Drosophila melanogaster: one gene and its partners. Changing the gene in region 3 together with the main gene of any one other region gives a genetic interaction. Each region holds a gene or a part of one and is shown on either strand. Other genes may lie near its edges.

What was found. A genetic interaction does not mean that the proteins touch.
Region 1: of Brca2 (region 3) and spn-A, changing one suppresses a phenotype caused by changing the other (phenotypic suppression), as found in Drosophila melanogaster (one study listed by BioGRID).
Region 2: of Brca2 (region 3) and aurA, changing one enhances a phenotype caused by changing the other (phenotypic enhancement), as found in Drosophila melanogaster (one study listed by BioGRID).

The regions. Positions count from the first base shown.
Region 1 is NT_033777.3:30,053,180-30,058,558, reverse strand, and holds spn-A (spindle A), read left to right. Parts: upstream 1-2,521; 5' UTR 2,522-2,619; coding exon 2,620-2,697; exon of another isoform or gene 2,698-2,760; coding exon 2,761-3,693; 3' UTR 3,694-3,863; downstream 3,864-5,379. Other genes in the region: CG7950 (uncharacterized protein), read right to left, coding at 624-1,100; Rpp14a (ribonuclease P/MRP subunit p14 a), read right to left, coding at 1,116-1,419, 1,525-1,556; Rpp14b (ribonuclease P/MRP subunit p14 b), read right to left, coding at 2,004-2,310, 2,392-2,423; Jasper (JIL-1 anchoring and stabilizing protein), read right to left, coding at 4,254-5,015, 5,095-5,379. UniProt on the Drosophila melanogaster protein: Plays an important role in homologous strand exchange, a key step in DNA repair through homologous recombination (HR). Binds to single and double-stranded DNA and exhibits DNA-dependent ATPase activity. Underwinds duplex DNA.
Region 2 is NT_033777.3:11,960,951-11,966,342, reverse strand, and holds aurA (aurora A), read right to left. Parts: upstream 3,220-5,392; 5' UTR 3,052-3,219; coding exon 2,938-3,051; intron 2,874-2,937; coding exon 2,573-2,873; intron 2,511-2,572; coding exon 1,690-2,510; 3' UTR 1,517-1,689; downstream 1-1,516. Other genes in the region: CG12213 (uncharacterized protein), read left to right, coding at 1-798, 857-918; CG3281 (uncharacterized protein), read left to right, coding at 3,631-3,786, 3,840-5,300.
Region 3 is NT_033778.4:24,523,638-24,531,228, reverse strand, and holds Brca2 (BRCA2, DNA repair associated), read right to left. Parts: upstream 5,058-7,591; 5' UTR 4,929-5,057; coding exon 4,184-4,928; intron 4,124-4,183; coding exon 4,052-4,123; intron 3,993-4,051; coding exon 1,894-3,992; 3' UTR 1,676-1,893; downstream 1-1,675. Other genes in the region: CG4612 (uncharacterized protein), read left to right, coding at 5,757-6,455, 6,687-6,911. UniProt on the Drosophila melanogaster protein: Involved in and required for double-strand break repair by meiotic and mitotic homologous recombination. During meiosis, has a dual role in the repair of meiotic double-stranded breaks and the efficient activation of the meiotic recombination checkpoint.

The sequences.
Region 1 (5,379 bases), on a different chromosome or scaffold from region 3:
CTGTTGTTGTCGTTGTTATTGTGGTTGTAGTCTCAACTGGCCAATTGCACTTTGCTTTTTTCGATAATTCGGATATTTTTGTTATTGCACCTTGAAGTTCTGCACCGACTTGATGTTGAATTCGCGTTTAAGCATCTCACAAACGCGATTTATCCGCAATATATGCATTTTACACTGCGCCTACAGCATTTTTCCTTTCCACACGAAATCTTAATACGCTTTTATTTTTCCGTTTTCTTTGATTGCTGCTTCGTAAACAGTGTGGCAGCAGGGTGGAAAAATACTGCCAACGAGGTGGGAGCGCTTCGAGTATATACCAGAAATACACAACATATGGAAATAACGGCCTATTGGCTACAGTGAATACAAGATACATTTACATTTTTTTATTTGTGTATTTCGCTATTTGTAAAAAAAGCGAGAATTTAATTGAGAAAACGAGTATCTTTTATTTCTGAAATAAGCACTATGCTGTTTCAACAATATCTCTGTTAATTCCAGACTATCTGGCTGATAAATGTTTCCCAGTCACGATCGATAGTGTGGGGATGGATTGAAGTTAATGACAAGTTTTATTTATTTTGTACGAAGTCACACCTAGCTCTTATCTTATGTACTCCCACCTAAGCCTTGGGCACCACTGAACTGCTATTGGGGGACACCAGCTCATCGCCGCCTCCGTTGTTGCCCACATCCGCCAGCGGATCCGCGTTCTGGCCACCAACTGAACCGGCATCCGTGTCCAAGGCCTCGCTCAAGCCATCATCGTCGTCGTCATCACCGCCAGATTTGTTGTACACGGTGGGGTACTTCTGGAAACAGTCGCGCATCTTGGTGAAGGCATCGTAGCAGTCCGATCCCTTGGGATCGGCGGTGCTGTTCTGGAAGCAGGAAAATGCCTCACGGAAATCGACGCCACAGGGACCGGTGGCCATGCCGCCGAGGCAGGGACAACTCCAGTTGATCTTGCCGTCCTTGGTGATCACGCCCTCCGGCTTTTCCGGCGGCGGCAGCTCGATGGTGCTGGGCGTGGCATGGTCCTCCTTGGTCACAAAAATCACCTTGTCCTTGCCGTACTCCTTGCAGTAAGAGAATGACATCCTGATGCGGTAATGCTAGTTAAATGCTACAAACTCCTCGGGGGATTCCTCAAAATCCAAGGGCTTTCGGGATGTGCTGAGCACCTGAAAATGGCAGGGCACCTCCTGGTAGTATCCTATTAGGGCTATAGCTACGCGAACGCGATCCAGGACGTTCTCGGGCACCCGGAGAATGGAGCGTTTTTGGCTGGAACTAAATTTCACAATTTCCAGTATGGTCTGGCCACCTATTTCGCCAAAAATACTAGCCAAGGAGCTATGGATGCAGCCACAGAAGAATACGGGCGTCAGAGTCACGGAGTCTGGATCACGGAGTTTTCTGGCGATTAAAAACGTGAATTATCTTAATTATATTTGCATGATGCACGTGCGCACGTGGGAAATACGGGGCTTTAAGGAGCGGGGCTGAGTGCCCGGAACTCACATCTTCACGTCCAGATATTGGTAACCACTCATGCTTTGGGTGCAAGTGCCAGTGCCCCTCTTTTTTTGGCGGAATCTTCGGGAAAAGTCGTCCAAAAGTTGCCGGTCAGTGTGTTTTTTTTATGTAATTACTCCCCTTTTTTGCTGTTTCTTTCTGCTTCTCAAACAGCTGTGCGCCGCCAGAGATGCCAGCTCGGCTCACAACGGACATGAGTAGTTATAAAATAGCTAAAATTATAGCCATTTATTAAAACATTTAAATTGTTATTGGAACTACTTAAATGCAATTTTATTAAAATGGTTACAAGTTTATGGGGTTTTTCCGCTTTTTAATCTCATTTAGTAGCCATCACAGAAATCATTTCAGTTCGTTGTGAATGACAAAAAAATCAGATCACAGTAAAATCAGTTAGGATTCAAATTCAAATTCTTCATGACGGTTATAATGTATATTACACTGAGTATTACAATTCGCTAGTCCTAATCATCGGACACAACCGCGACAGTCTTTTCAATGCTCTTCTCAAAGTCCAGCGATGATTTGGATGTTTCCAAGATCTCAAAATGACAGGGTATCTGCTGGTAGTGACCGATGAGCTCAATGGATATGCGGGTCATGTCGTGCAGTTGCTCTGGCACTCGAAAGATAACACGATGTTGCTGGGCGCAGAACTTCACGATCTCCAGTGTGGGTTTCTCCTCGCAGAAGAAACTGTCCAGGGCGTCAAGAACGCAGCTTCGAAACAGAGATGGGGTCAAAGCAACTGCAGTCGGATCCCGAAGTTTACTATTAAATAAATGAATATATTTACTGAATTTAATAACAACCAAGTTTATATTAATGACCGCAGAACATCATTCTACTCACAGTTTGATGTCGAAATAGTAATAGTTCGCCATGGTGATCTTGCGCGTTCCTTTTAAGCGGGATCCTCTGTAGTGATAGAGTTTTGTGCGTTCGGGGCGATTGGCAAACTGATTTTGCAGTGAATTGCGCGCCGCGCAGTCTTTGTCGAAATTCTCTCACGCAAGACGTGCAATTTAAATAACGAAACTCGAAACAACAAATAGTCAAATTTAACTTCGAAACTGTCAAATGGAGAAGCTAACGAATGTTCAGGCACAGCAGGAAGAGGAGGAGGAAGAAGGTCCACTCAGCGTGACTAAGTTAATAGTGAGTAGGCTGCGATCTCGACCAGGATTATTATGGGCATTCCCTACGATATCCTCCTCCTAGGGCGGCAGCATCACGGCCAAGGACATCAAGCTGCTCCAGCAGGCCAGTCTGCACACCGTGGAGTCGGTGGCCAATGCCACCAAGAAGCAACTGATGGCCATTCCCGGCTTGGGCGGCGGCAAGGTGGAGCAGATCATCACGGAGGCTAACAAACTGGTGCCTCTGGGCTTCCTTAGTGCTCGCACCTTCTATCAAATGCGTGCCGATGTCGTGCAGCTGAGCACGGGCTCCAAGGAGCTGGATAAACTGCTGGGCGGCGGCATTGAGACGGGATCCATTACCGAGATCTTTGGCGAGTTCCGCTGCGGAAAGACCCAATTGTGCCACACTCTGGCAGTAACCTGCCAGCTGCCCATCAGCCAGAAGGGCGGCGAGGGCAAGTGCATGTACATCGACACGGAGAACACCTTCCGTCCGGAGCGTTTGGCTGCCATCGCGCAAAGGTACAAACTGAATGAATCCGAGGTGCTGGACAATGTGGCCTTCACCCGTGCCCACAACTCAGATCAGCAGACCAAGCTCATCCAGATGGCGGCGGGCATGCTCTTTGAGTCCAGATACGCTTTGCTGATTGTGGACAGTGCCATGGCGCTCTACAGATCCGATTATATTGGTCGCGGGGAGCTGGCCGCCAGGCAAAACCATTTGGGCTTATTTCTGCGCATGCTTCAACGCCTGGCCGATGAGTTCGGAGTGGCTGTGGTAATTACTAACCAGGTTACTGCCTCGCTGGACGGCGCACCCGGCATGTTTGATGCCAAGAAGCCCATTGGCGGGCACATCATGGCCCACTCCTCAACCACGCGGCTGTATCTGCGCAAGGGTAAAGGCGAAACCCGCATCTGCAAGATCTACGACTCGCCCTGTTTGCCGGAATCGGAGGCCATGTTCGCCATTCTGCCGGATGGAATAGGAGACGCCAGGGAGAGCTAATTGTGCTCACTTATAGGTTAATTAATGCTAGGAATAGAGCTCCCTAACTTTCTAATGATTACTTATCCCTAGACTAAGAATTAAACTTCGTAGATTGTTTTTTTTTTTGTTTTAATGTTTACTTAGAATGTTTAGGATAACGACGAAATAAAACAGCCGTTGCGAATTGTATGTACCATCTATATTTAATTCAATATTATTCAAATCATCTACAAACTTAGAAAATATTTAGGGGTTTCGAAGCAAAAACCTTTTTTTTAGTCTGGTAATAAGCGGATGCAGCAGGAAAAGCCCCATCAGCGCAGCGTAACACGACATGCACCTGGCAGGCAAACAGAATTAAGGAATTTAGCTGAATTTTTAACCTAGAATTAAGCATAGCCCACTTGGCTCATCAAAACTTTGTCATCCAAAGCACGGTCTTTAAGTTGCCTGGTTTGTAACGCTTACGAGTAACTGCAAGAAAGAGGATTCTTGAAGATGTGTTTCAACTCAGCGGTTTGCGGTTTCCCATCCTACCTTATCATGTAATTGGTCCAGCAGAACTGGTCCTCGATCATTTACTGTGGAGCCGATCCGGCTGAAGCGGCGGCCTCCTTGGCCAAAACCAGGCTATTATATCCGCGCTCGTTCATCCCGACGCGAAGGTTTTCGTTGATATTTTTCGTATAGGTCTTGTAGATTTTTACCTTTTCGCAGAAGTCGATCCAAAAGTTGTCCTCGCTCTCGGGCTCCGGATTGAAGAGACTCTTGAAGCCATCGTATATGCCAGAGGAGACCTTGCGTATGGTCTGCGCCCTCTCCTTGAACTCCACCTCGTCGGACAGGTCCATTTTCCAGAGCTCCAGATTGCCCACATACCGGCGAAGTCGGCGCATTATGTCCACGCACTCCGGATTGCGCAGCAGCATCAACTTGGTGAACTCCACCTCCTTGAACTGCTCGAGGATCTCCAGGCATTTGCCCACATTGGCGCGCCGCAGGCCCAAACATTCGCGCAGCTGCTGGGAAAGTTGGATGAAGTCTCGCTCCATGAAGAGGGCATCCTCGTGCTCAATGAGCTCCTCGATGAATCGCAAAGCCTCCTGCTTGGGTATTTCGCTGCGTGTTGGCTCCACCACGATCCTATCGGGCATGGACTCCGGATTGATTTGGCCGCTCTCTAGTTTCAGTTTGAGCTCCAAGGCTTCTTTGCGGGCGTTCTCCATCCAGGCTTCCTCGGCAGCGGCGCTTTCGAAACTCTCCGGCTTTTTGTAGTTTATAACGATTCCCAAACACTTGGCTGTGGGCATGTACACCATGAGCATCTCGTTCCGGATGTTCTGTTTGGGCAAAAATGGAAATCAATGTATCGTAATTCATACTAGTTTATGTCTGGTGGTATTTCTGCATCGCACTTACATTGACTGGCCGCGACCGCTTCTGAATCGGAGTTACTGCAGCCGTGGGCTTGGATTTCTTCACTGATTTCTTGCTGGAGGTGGGGGTCGCCGCAGCCGGAGCAGCGGGGATGGCTGCGGCGGTAGCCAGACCCTCGGTGGGAACCCTTCGCTTGGCCGGCGGAGGTGCTAGTTCCGCGCCTGCTTCACTATCCCCGTCCACATGGCGCGGTGGTGCCTTGGTCTTCCGGGTGCCGCTCTTCTTGGGCTTCTCGGCCGCTGCTGCGACTGGTGCAGCAGTGGCTGG
Region 2 (5,392 bases), on a different chromosome or scaffold from region 3:
CTTTTGCCGTGTCCAACAACCACAGCCTCATACTAAACTCTGTTGAAAACTTTCAGATTGTGCCCAAATCGGTCAGTGAGAAGCAACAGCAGGAGGAGCCGCAACTATCCGGCGGTCCTGTTTCCCCGTTAAGTGCACCCCGCAAGAGCAGCACCCAAGCCTCAGTGGGCAGCGCTTCGGACAAGAAAGCCGGTGATGCCCCCAACGCATCTGTAGCCCCAAAAGTTAGTAGCAGCGGCCTTCCCCCGCTTGCAGTGCCACCAGCGAAGACTGAGCGCAAACTTCCCGAAAACGTGGCTCCCATTCCCGAGAACTTTGAAGACAAAGCGGATACTAAGGGCGACGCTGTCGATGTAGACAACGCCGCCGAAGACCTGCCGAAGAACGAGAACAACAATCGTTACGCCAACGCAGTAAATGATATGGAGGGCAACAAAAATGTAGGCGTAGCTCCCAAACCCATCGAGGATTCGGGCGCTCACGAAGTTAAGGATGCGTTAAACGAGCCTAGCTTTAATTTGCCCGCCGCTGGTGGCGGCCAGAATTTCTTCGATGGCGAATTGCCGGCACCTGGTCCCGGACCCGTTCCCGATGAAACGGCCAAACAGATGGCCGAGGCAGCCGGTGCCGGAGGAGGTGGCGACGGAGATGACGACGACGATGTGGGTGATGTGGCCGTGAAACAGCCACAGCATTTGCTCGATACAGACAATCTAAACAACGAAATCGTTGCTGACCAGGGTAAGGAGTTCGCCGAAGGCATCCACCTGGAAGACGGCATGGATGAAGATCAAGATGGTGAGTGGAAGTGCTCACAAATCGGAATAAATGCTTAACACTTTAACTTAAATTGCAGAGGACGACTATTCCAATGGTGGTGCAGCACGCAAGAAGGGAGGCGAGGTTATTAGACACTAAGTAAGATAATTTTCTATTAATATTGAGCGGCAAGTGTGCAAAGGCTTAGAAACCCCTTTATATTAAAGCCGTGCTCGGTAAGCCATAGATTCTAGGGTTAATCATAACGAAATGTCGCAAATCGATCATTGAAATTTGTACGTTAATTGAAGATTATAAATCAAAATCTATCCTGGCTTGAGCACGCCCTAAGCTATTTAGTTTGTAAGTTAAGTTCAACGTCATGACTACCATCATTTCGTTAATAGCAAATGAAGAACAAGAAATTAAAACTCGCAGGAAATACAATACTCTGAGATGGAGCTACGAACAAATGCAGACAGATTTAAAATGAAGACTGTTTCAGTTCTGCCTTGCAAATTATTAGTCCCGAATTAGCAGTAATCGAAATCGTTGCTAAATCCTTACAAGTTTCATTAACAAATATACTCTATATACTTGGTTTTCTGTGATAAAAATAAACGCTGCGCTGCATTTGGGCAATGTTGCCTGTTTTTTTTGTCGCTGCCTACACGTTTCACTTCTGCATTTGCAATTCCGTCAACCCATTTCGCTAGAGATTAGGTAGCTACATAAGATAGGAGTGTACGCTAGCATTCGAAAACACACACAAACTTTATTGCTAATGATAATAATAAACTTAATTGATAAATGTTAATTTCTCGTATCTATATAAATGAAAATTTATGATGCCATAATTAAATTACGCGGGGAGCCCTAAACTAAAAATGTAATTAAAAGGAATTAACTGAAAATTAAACAAGAATGTGTTCACTGCGTGTGCGCCAGGATCCAAGGATGCACCATCACCTGATCCAGCGGTAGGCGGTGCTGCGGATTAAGGACCAGCAGCTTGGAAATGAGATGGGATGCTGCCTTGGAAATGTGCTCCGGCAGTTTGTAGTCCACCTTGAGAATCTTCTTGTAGGTCTCGTCATAGTTCTTCGAGTAGAAGGGAGCGTGGCCCACTAGCAGCTCAAAGCAGAGCACACCCAGGCTCCATAGATCCACGTTTTTCGTGTGCGGCTTGCCCTGAACCATTTCGGGTGGCAAGTAGTCGACAGTGCCGCACAGTGTCATGCGCATGGAGTTCGGCTCGTGCACGGACCAACCGAAGTCGGCGATCTTCAGGACGCCCTTGTGCCCGAGCAGCAAGTTCTCCGGCTTGATGTCCCTGTGTATGATGTCCCGCTCATGCAGATAGAGCAGCGCCGAGCACAACGCCTGAATATAGGTGGCCGACTGGCGTTCATCGAAACGTTTCATCGGCTGTGCCTGCAAGGCGTTGAAAAGCGTTCCTTGTGGCGCATACTCCAAGATCAGATATATGCGCACGTCGTCGTGAAAGTAGGCATACAGACGCAGGATATGCGGATGACGTAGGTGCGATTGTATCTCGATCTCACGACGCACCTGGTGCTCCACATTGGACTCGCCAATCTGGCGCTTAAAGAGCACTTTTAGGGCCACCACGAACTGGGATTCCTTTTCCCGCGCCAAATAAACGTTGCCAAACTTGCCCCGTCCCAGCAGGCGACCAATATCAAAGTTGTTGAGCTCCCAGGTCTTCTTCGGCTTCTGGGGCTGGGTTTCTGCAGAAAATTACAATTGAGTTTGGTAATTGCAAAAGATTACAGCTGAACCATTAACCCACCAGTCTTGGTTTTCTCTTTTTCAGCGGAGCTGCTGGCCGCACCCAGTTCCTTGGAGGATTCAGAGCTCGCAGCAGTGGGTTTCTGCTTGGAAAGTGACTCAGGCTTCTTGATAGGTGCTACTGGAGCCGGAGCAGCAAACTCTGATGTGGTCTTCTTCACGGACGGCACCATGGGTTTTTGGAAGTTGTTTCCTTCGGAGGAAGCTATGGAATTGGAGCCTCCTAGGCCTGGCTTCCTGATCAAAGCGCCAGAGGATCCTGGCAAGGGTTTGCTAGCTGGAGCCATATTCTCGCTGTTGGGCTGTATCACAATGGTACCAAATAAGAGTTTCAGCTGCACTCCAGAGATTTACCACTTAACGTACCTTCTTTCCCAATAGCAAGTTCTTTTGCATATTGTGCACTGCAGCTGATTTTTCTGGCATTCTGTGCGGAGCATTTTCCTTGGGACGCAGCACATGGTCAGACGGATGGGACATGACGGCACAGGCACTCGACAACTAACAGAACAGATTACAATTTTGGTCAGTTAACAATGAAAGCCGATATTGGGTAAAACATTCACGACTCCCGGGATCCTGTGAAAATAAAATGCCGTTCGTTTGAATTGTGAAGCGGGCGTGTGCGTGATGAGGCGAATGGCAAGTGTGCGATACTATCGGTTGGTTGAAGAATATCGTGACTTTGTAGTGTTAGAAAATGTTATATTGTGTATTATTTCAATTTGAAATCAAGAGAATTATTGAATAGTGCTCTAAACTTTGGCATTTATGTTATTTTAACCTTAATTTCTATCTCTATACAAATACATCTATCAAAGCGTCTTAATTTTGAAAATATGTTAATTCGTCGCACTTTATTTTGATTAACCGGACGATAGACTATCGGAAGATATTTATAAATATCGTTAATTGTGTACATCTCAATTCCAATATTTTTTATTTCTGGTGACTGTGAACCAGAACAGCTGTGATTTTATCGGGCATCTCTGAACATCAGGTGTTATTAACAAGCAAAGTTTTTATTGGAATTCGTCGTTTATGATATGATGCCGAATCATGGACACACCGGAGATCCACGTAAATATAAGCTCGCAGACTTGCCGCGTCTGCCTGGAGACGCACGAGACCAATCTGTATGTCCACGATGAAATCAAATACAACGACCTTAAGTTGGAGCTCTGGCAGTTGTTGGAGGCAGTTTCCAAATTGAAGGTAAAGAGCTACAATTTCAAGAAACTTCGAAAAATAAGTTCAATTATTTCCAGTGGACATGGACGGACCCAAATCTGCCTATGCATCTGTGTCAAAATTGCGCCCGCCGGCTGATCGGCGCCTATGAGTTCATCGTCGAAGTGGAAAACGCCCATGAAACTTTACAGAATCTCTTCGAGCAACAGGAAGTTGCTGCCAAGCCGGATGAAGTTCATGTGGATGTCGTGGAGCTTATAGACCAAGACGATGTGGTCAGTATGGCACAATACCTGTCCACGTCTTTTGCCGAACAGCACGTGGAAATGGAGGAGAAGTATGGAGACCAAGACTGTTCAGCTTTTACTTCAGATGTGGGCGAAGAGCCACTCTATGCGAGCGAGGATCGTGATGATGAGCCTGAAGACTCCTTTCAGCTGAAGCCTCGGCCAGATGAAATAGAAAACAGAGAATTGTCGCGACCTTCCCAGCTGGGCAGTCGTTTGAACCATTCGGCGAACTTCATCTACAAGTGCGCCGTCTGTCCGCGTGTCTTTGCCAAAAGTGAATCTCTGACTCGTCATTTTTCCCAAGCCCACAAACTGACAGCGGACGTGGCCGCCATGAAGCTGGCCAACGAGAGCTGCGGCACCGGTCTGCTAACCTGTGAGCACTGTCCGCGGACATTCAAGCGTCAGGACACACTCCGGCGACACATGCAGGCATTCCATCCCGACGCAATCGCATTGGAACCCGAAGAAACGACGGACAATTCCGCCCGAAAACGCATAGCTAAGCGGCGAGACTGTCCGCACTGTGGCCTGAGCTTTCCCGTATCTAGCCTTACCATCCACATTCGGCGACATACGGGCGATAATCCGTACAAGTGCGATCAATGCGAGAAGGCCTTTCCGCGCAGCCAAGATCTTAGTCTTCACATGCGTCAGCACACCGGCGAGCGTCCCAGTGAGTGCAAGATCTGCTCCAAGAAGTTTATTTCGCAGAACAAGCTGGCGCGACACATGCGATTGCACACGGGTCAAAGGCCGTACTCCTGCAAAATGTGCAGCAAGAGCTTTGTGCAGTCCAACGACCTTAAGATCCATATGCGGCGCCACACGGGCGAGCGACCATATCAGTGTGGAGTGTGCGGCGAGAGCTTTGTGTGCGGTTCGCACCTGAATATCCATCGTAACCGAAAGGGACATCTGATTGCTGTGATTCCGGGCAATGAAGTAGAGGCAAATTTTGCTGCTGATCCTTATGTAAATGCTAGGGTCAACCAGCGCCGTTCGGAGGATATAGAGCGTATGCGCCTGCAACGCATTCCCGAAAACCAATTGCAACAGAGACTGGAAAATCTCCCCAAACCGGATGTCCCGGCTATGTGCTACAAATGCGGTGTCTGCGAACAGAAATTCAAAAGTGGAGCTCTCCTGACCGTCCATCGCAATAAAATGAGCCATTATGAGATCGAAAGGGTCTACGAAAATCCGTTCGGAAAAAATCAGAAAATCATCAAAGCCGAATATAATTAAAATGTATTACTAGCTAAAGAAATCATCACTAATATAGAATGTAGAATGAACCCATGTATATTAGATACTAATTGTATCGTAAGACTTTCAAA
Region 3 (7,591 bases):
GTGCTTGGTCGGGGCTTCTGACTCGGAATCCATGCAAGTCCAAGTACTCCAGGATCTCAATTTGGCTCTCCAAACGGAGCTCAATGTGTTCATCGATTTTGAGTGCTGCGCCACCTCAGAGATACTCCACAAATTGGACTCGCCGAGAATTTTACTCTCCTCCAACTCGAGGGAAGCTAGAGATCTTAGAATTCGGGGAAACTTCACAGAGAGTACCCTTATCATAGTAAGTGTAATGGATTCAGATCTGAATCCACTGGTTGCCAGTCTTCTGCCACGCTTGTTGGACGAGCTCCATGAGCTGCACATAGTGTTCCTGAGCAATGAGGAACCAGGATTTCCGAAACAGGACCTCTACACCTACTGCTTCAAGGAGGGATTCGTAAATGTAATTCTGATGAGCGGAAAGGGCCTCTACAGCTACCTACCGTATCCTAGCATTCAACCGATCAGCCTATCAAATGTGTCCGAGTATTTCGATCGCGCAAGGATAATTCGAAACTTTCAAGGCTTTCCTGTCCGCATACTTCGAAGCACATTAGCTCCTCGGGACTTTGAGTACTCCAACGAACAGGGTGGCTTGGTGCGAGCAGGATATTTGTTCACAGCGGTCAAGGAGCTGACTTATCGCTATAACGCCACCATCGAGAGTGTACCCATACCCGATCTGCCGGAATATGATGTATACTTGGCCGTTGCTGAAATGCTACATACAAAAAAGATCGACATTGTTTGCTACTTCAAAGATTTCAGCTTGGAAGTGGCCTACACAGCACCACTTTCGATTATCCGCGAGTACTTCATGGCTCCCCACGCCCGTCCGATTTCCAGTTATCTGTACTACTCCAAGCCCTTCGGCTGGACCCTTTGGGCGGTCGTGATTTCGACTGTCTTGTACGGAACCGTAATGCTGCATCTGGCTGCGCGAGGAGCACGAGTCGAGATTGGAAAGTGCTTGCTGTACAGCCTCAGCCACATCCTATACAACTGCCACCAGAAAATCAGAGTTGCTGGCTGGAGGGACGTGGCCATCCATGGCATTCTAACGATCGGAGGCTTTATACTGACCAACGTCTACTTGGCCACGCTCTCCAGCATCCTCACATCCGGGCTGTACGACGAGGAGTACAACACTCTGGAGGATCTGGCCAGGGCTCCCTACCCCAGTCTGCACGACGAGTACTACAGAAGTCAGATGAAGGCGAAAACCTTCCTGCCCGAACGGCTCCGCAGGAACAGCTTGAGCTTGAACGCCACCCTGCTAAAGGCGTACCGGGATGGGCTCAATCAGAGCTACATATACATATTGTACGAGGACCGCCTGGAGCTGATCCTGATGCAGCAGTACCTGCTGAAGACGCCGCGCTTCAACATGATTCGCCAGGCCGTGGGTTTTACCCTCGAATCCTACTGCGTGTCCAACAGTCTGCCGTACTTGGCGATGACCAGTGAGTTCATGAGGCGCCTGCAGGAGCACGGGATCAGCATCAAAATGAAGGCGGACACTTTCCGGGAGCTCATCCATCAGGGAATCTATACCTTGATGCGCGATGATGAGCCGCCGGCTAAGGCATTCGACCTGGACTACTACTTTTTCGCATTTGTTTTGTGAACTGTGGGACTGATTTCGTCTCTTCTCGTTTTTTTCGCGGAACTCGTAAGTGGGCACCTTTAAGGAAGTTGGTTAGCGGGTGGCCCTTATCGGATCGTTTATTTCCTTATAAGGTGCACTTAACAAAAAACGCTTATTATGATAACTTATACAATTATTCAATCTGTCATGATGAGACCACTAATGGCATACCTTAATTAATTCAACTAAATCTCTACCCATTTCAAATCGGCCAGCGGTTTAAATATTTTGGGTATAAAGCAACGCTTACTTAATGTGTACTAATAGCGACTTCGACTCAGACCAAGTCTTCGACTCTTTTTGGGTTGCATGCAAATAGGGGACATGTCCTCCGCATCCTGTCTATTCTTTGTACAGTCCTTGGAGCGATTTAAGTCCCTGTCGGCCAGCGGAGTACTTGTCGAGGAAGGCTTGGGAGCGAATCGCTCCATAGTGGGTAAGGCGCAGGAAGTGGAAGTTTCAGTTGACAAAATGATCTTTCGCTTTCTTTTTAGTGACAGGAGGTTCCGGCGAGCTATTACGGACTTCTTGGTGGCCTGGTCCAGTGGTGATTTGCCGGCAAGTTGCGATAGTGAGGAGTGGATCTCCTGCGACCTTCTGGGTGTCCTCACCAATGGCTGGCTACACAGCGGATGCTCTTCCTTTGCAGAATGCTCCACGAAGAAGTCGTGTTTGAAATGCTCAATATCTGAGGTATTTTTTAGACTTTGTACATTGCAAAAAGTTGGCTTGTTGGCACTGTCTTCTGCCGCCGCTTCATCTACGAACTTGGCATCAATATTTCTCGATTCCTCAGAGATCACAGTTGGTTGGTTCGAGTCAGTGCTTGCATCGGCGGCTTGAAATTCACTCATGAACTGTGCAACTTTGATTTTCGTATTTTCCGAAATCACAATTCCTTTATTTGAAGCGGTACGAAAGCCGAAGAATTCGGTCTCAGATACGGTTTTAGTATTCACAGCCTTATTATTTTCAACATTTATTGAATGAATCTCATTGTTTGGAGAGGTGGGTAGAACATCAGGAAAATCGCTTGGCTGCCACCCGTTTAATTGGTCTGTAGCTTTAGACTGGGCCAGAAACATGGCTCCTCTCTTCTCCATCGCCTCGGTAATCTCAATGGCTTTGTTTGACGCTGTTCTAAAGCCGAAAAACTGTGATTCATTTAAGTCACGGCAAACTGGGTCAAGTGTGGGTTGATGCGGTTCCCGCATTGTAGTATCAACGACCACCAACTTGGAAGCTTTCGATCGCATTTCCTCTGAACTCTCTATTGATCTTTTTAAGGCTGTATCAAGTCCAACAGACGTCGGTTTGTCATTTGGCTGATGGACTAAATAATCATTTTGTTGAATTGTTTCTTTGGATTGAAACTCAGCCATAAACTCTGCAGTTTTGATTTTCATCTTCTCAGAAATCGGAATTGCCTTATTTGAGGCTGTGCGAAAGCCACAAAACTCGGGCTCTGCTATAGTATCGTTATTGAGAGGACTGAATTTTCCATTTATTTCTCCAACGTCAACTTTAGCTATTGCATTGTAGGTTTCCTTACCATCCAATATTTCGATGGGCTTGCTTGGGGCTGATTTGAATTCCGCACACTGTGTTGATTCCATTACTTGACTATGATTATCGGAGTATTCCTCAGTACGTAAGTTGCACTTGTGACTAAAGTGATATAGGCCGGATACAACTTTGTCTACAAACTCTTCGCCTTTAATTTTCATTTCTTCCGAAACCTCGATAAATTTGAAGGACTTCTTTCGAATGCCATTAAGTTGATGACTGCTTATGGTCTGACTTTTATTAGGAGTCTGCTTTTCTGGTTGCTCCTTGTCGTCCAGATTTATTGAATTGATGTTTTCTTTAGGCCCTTGAATTGCGTTTTTGGAGGTTGATGGGCCATTAGAGCACTGCATTGGTTGCCAATCATTAAAAAGAAACTCCTCAAGAAGCTCGCCGTCGTTCAATAGGTTTTCTTGCTCTGCAGCATTAGGCTGATCCAGAATAGTAGTTCCTTCGTTTTTCGTGTTAATATCACAAGATTGTTTTGAGGCTCCTCTAACCTTTGATGCATTTGAATCTTTGCTACTTTTTTGTTCTTTCTGGGAACTTGGCTCCAACTTTAACTTTTTATCGGGTATATGTTTGATTACATCTTTGGAGATCTCGGGCAGTTCCATCGGAGTTAGCCATTCACTTAGTGGTATGCCTTCTAATATGAAGTTTGTGTTCTCCTCTATGTCAACATTTTTTGCTTGCGTTTGGCCCATCAAAAGTTTCTTATTTTCAGCAATTTCGACATCAGCTTTTTTCAATGTAGAGTCTGCATCAGACCAAACATTACGTTTTCCACTTTCTATAAATAAGGGTTTATATTAATGAACTTCGCAACAACATAAATTGCATATGAATTACCCAATCGGAGGCGCGTAGTGGGAACCGATTGCATGCTATCGCCATAAATAGTGTCTGCCATAGTTCCTGGACCTACGTACATATAAAAGGAGTTACAAATGTGTTTCTTGCCATATCGATCCCACTCCCTACCTTCCTGCTCATGCTCATTTTCATAGAAAGAGGCCTCAAATGTAAATCCGCTCTGCAACAGGTCATCCCTCAAGTTCTCCAATTCAGCGTTGAAACACTCGTCACCAGAATCCTGCCTTGCTTCGGTTGGCAGATCTATTTGCGATGGGACAGGAGTCGGACCGGAAGCTGTCGCGGTCGCGGAAAAGTATTGACTGAGGTTCAAAAGGACCTCGTGTATCTTCTGTGATGAAGCATCGAAATCACAAGCCATAGATGTGAACGAAGTATTGAGATCCCTCTGCACGGAGAGGCCTGAGGAACCTCTACGCTTCTCGTTTTGAACGGCCTTGTGGCTTTTGGGATCCCTCTTCCGGCTGTAGGTTCTGATCCTTTTGTTGCGAAATCGAAACCACGGCTCCGACTCATGGCTGGGCTCATCCTCATCCTCTGCGTATGTTGGAGACGAGCAAAAGTCGCTCATGATCATCTCGACCTGGTCCTCGGGCGTGGGCTCTGCGTAGGACAAAATAAGATCCTCCACGGCGACGAAGTCGCTGTTGTCCACCGCAAGCCGCTCGTGACCCCGAGTCCGTCGAGCGATGGCGAAAGTCTGGCGATCGGCTTCGCATATTTTGGCCATTTCGTCGATAATGTTACTCCGATTTGCCGCCGCGGAAACTGTGGCGCCACGTTCGCGCGCATGGGCTCCTCTTCCTTGGGATAGCCTGTTCGGATGACTTCCCGATGCGCCATTCTGGTCCATCACGTCATCTAATTGTTTAAATGTGTTTTATTTGAAGTAAGCAAGTGTCCAATGCTTTTGTGGTTGCATTTCCAAAACAAGGGGTGCAGTGTTGGTAAGCGTTGCTTTGATGGCCATTATCCGCTAACTGTGGAGGGTGGACTTGCTAAGCAATCGGGAGCGAGAAAGTCATCGATGGTATGGCCAAGAACATGAAGGCCTCACGTATCGATGGCAGATGCATCGATGTTTTTTAACATCACTAATCACTAGTAGCGACAGTTTTTGCATAAAATACAATTAAATAATAAAGGGCCATCGCCGAAGCTGCAAAAACCAGGTTTTACACTGCTGCAATTGCTGAAGAGTCTAGTTTAGGTGCCACTCGAAAACAATACCGGAAAGTGTTACGCGAAAGCCCAGCAGAGCCCCAAAGAATCAGCCCAAAAGTGAAAGCCCCCAGAAAAAGTAAAGTACAAAAGAGCGAAAGGAAGAGCCAGAGAGGTAAAGAAAGAGAGAGCGAAGAGCGTTGAAAAGAGTCTGTGCGAGAGAAAAACGATTTTTTCAACTCCGCGAATCCTTGGTCATATTCCGTGTGCAAATCCTGGTAAGTGGGCATTCCGCTGGATTACGACTAGATTGGCCATAACGCAGATTCCCGACATCCCAGGTAAATCGGGAAGTGAAGTGAAATACTAGGACCAGGACAAGAACGCCGTCAAGATTCTCGGGCCCATCTACAGCGGTATCCAGATCCAGAGCCACGGCCACCAGGACGCAGAATCCACCTACAGCACCTACAGCACTCCACTAGCCGCCACCACGCTCCACAAACAGCCAGCAGCCATTATGTTCGTCAACTCCATGACGTTCCGCGGCAATCCGGCGAACTACCACCAGCAGCAGCCGGCCCTGAACCACCACACGCTGGCAGCGGCGCACCACCAGCAGCAGCTGCACCACCACGCCGCTGCAGCTGGTCACCTGAGCCACGTCGGCGGTGGGCACGCAGCCAGTAACCACCTGGCGGCCGCCGCTGTTCTCGGACGGCATGGCCACAACTCCCTGGGCAGCGGGCACACGTCCACGTCCTCGCACTCGGCCAATGTGGGCGTGGGAGTCGGCGGGGGAGCTCTGGCTAGCGGCTCCACTGGGGGCAGCGGAGGCAACAGCTCTCCGGACAGTGGCAAGATCTATATCAAGAACCTGGAGCGGTCCATCGACAACAAGGCGGTGTACGACACGTTCTCGGTGTTCGGAAACATCCTAAACTGCAATGTGGCCAAAGACGAGGATGGCAATTCACGCGGCTATGGGTTTGTGCATTTCGATTCGGAGGAGGCCGCCCGAGCGGCCATCGAGAAGGTGAATGGGATGCTGTGCAATAATCAGAAGGTGCATGTGGTCAAGTTCATACCACGGCGGGACCGGGAGCAGGAGAAGGCCACGCACTTCAAGAATCTGTATGTGAAGAACCTCAGCGAGGAGTTCACCGAGCAGCATTTGCGCGAGATGTTCGAGCCCTACGGCCGCATCACCAGTCACAAGGTACGTTGTTTGGTCACCTCATCTTCCCTACGGGGATGTTCGTGGGGCCGGGTGGTTGGACGACAACCATGTGGCACAGTTTTGCACTCTCTTAAGTCCTCTCTTGCGCCATTGCTGCGCATGCCCATGTAGCCACGAGGAGTTTGTGACGGCGGGGAAGATGAGGACTCCACCTGGCCCATCTGTGCTAATTTGTTTATATCATCGATTTGCTTTCTCCGATCCTTGCAGCTCATGCTGGACGAGGAGGGGCGCTCCCGGCGTTTCGGTTTCGTCGCCTACGAGAACCCACAGTCGGCGCTGGCCGCCGTAATTGGCCTGCACGGCAAGCAGCTGGGCGACAACAAGTTCTTGTACGTGGCAAGAGCCCTCAGCAAGGCCGAGCGGCAGCAGGAGATCAATCGCAAGCTGGAGGAGCGCAAGCGGCAGAAGGCCGGCCAGATATTCTACTACTAAGGCTTCGGCGGCGGCAGCTGATCCAAGGACATCGCTAGGAGTTGACTTGGAACCCACACACATACAATACACACCCATATATAAACCTATATAGATATTTACGAGAAATTGTATCGAGCAGCTAGGCGGACATTCAGGCAGCAGACGGACGGGAGGCAGCTCCTTCGCATATACACTTAGATGTAGGCAAAAGTCTTGCAACACAGTTGAAATTTATAGAAAGAACACAGGGCAGAAACAAAGGGAGGGAGAGGCAGAAAACGAGCTCTCAACCGAAAGGATTTTCTAGGCATTAGGACAACAATTTCTTAGCACTCACTAGCGTTTTTTTGGAATTAGATGTTTGTCTTTACTGTTGAATTTAGTGAGCAGGGGCTTTGCTGTCAGCTTCTCGCCTAAAGAACACATTGCGTACACACACGTATTTCGAAATGTATTTACCCACACAAGGCCAACTTTCACACTGGCCCCTTGGCATTAAGTCTAGATCGTGCGATCGCAACTAGAGCTACGCCCAGCTCAGTCCTGGGCAACATATGAATATTTACACTTACCTAATATATATGTATTAAAACCAAACTAAACCAAGAAACAAAGCAAAACGAAAACAAACAAAAAAAGAACAAAAAACAAAATGGAAAAACGGAAAAAATACAATTGATGTAACCCCTATTAACAAG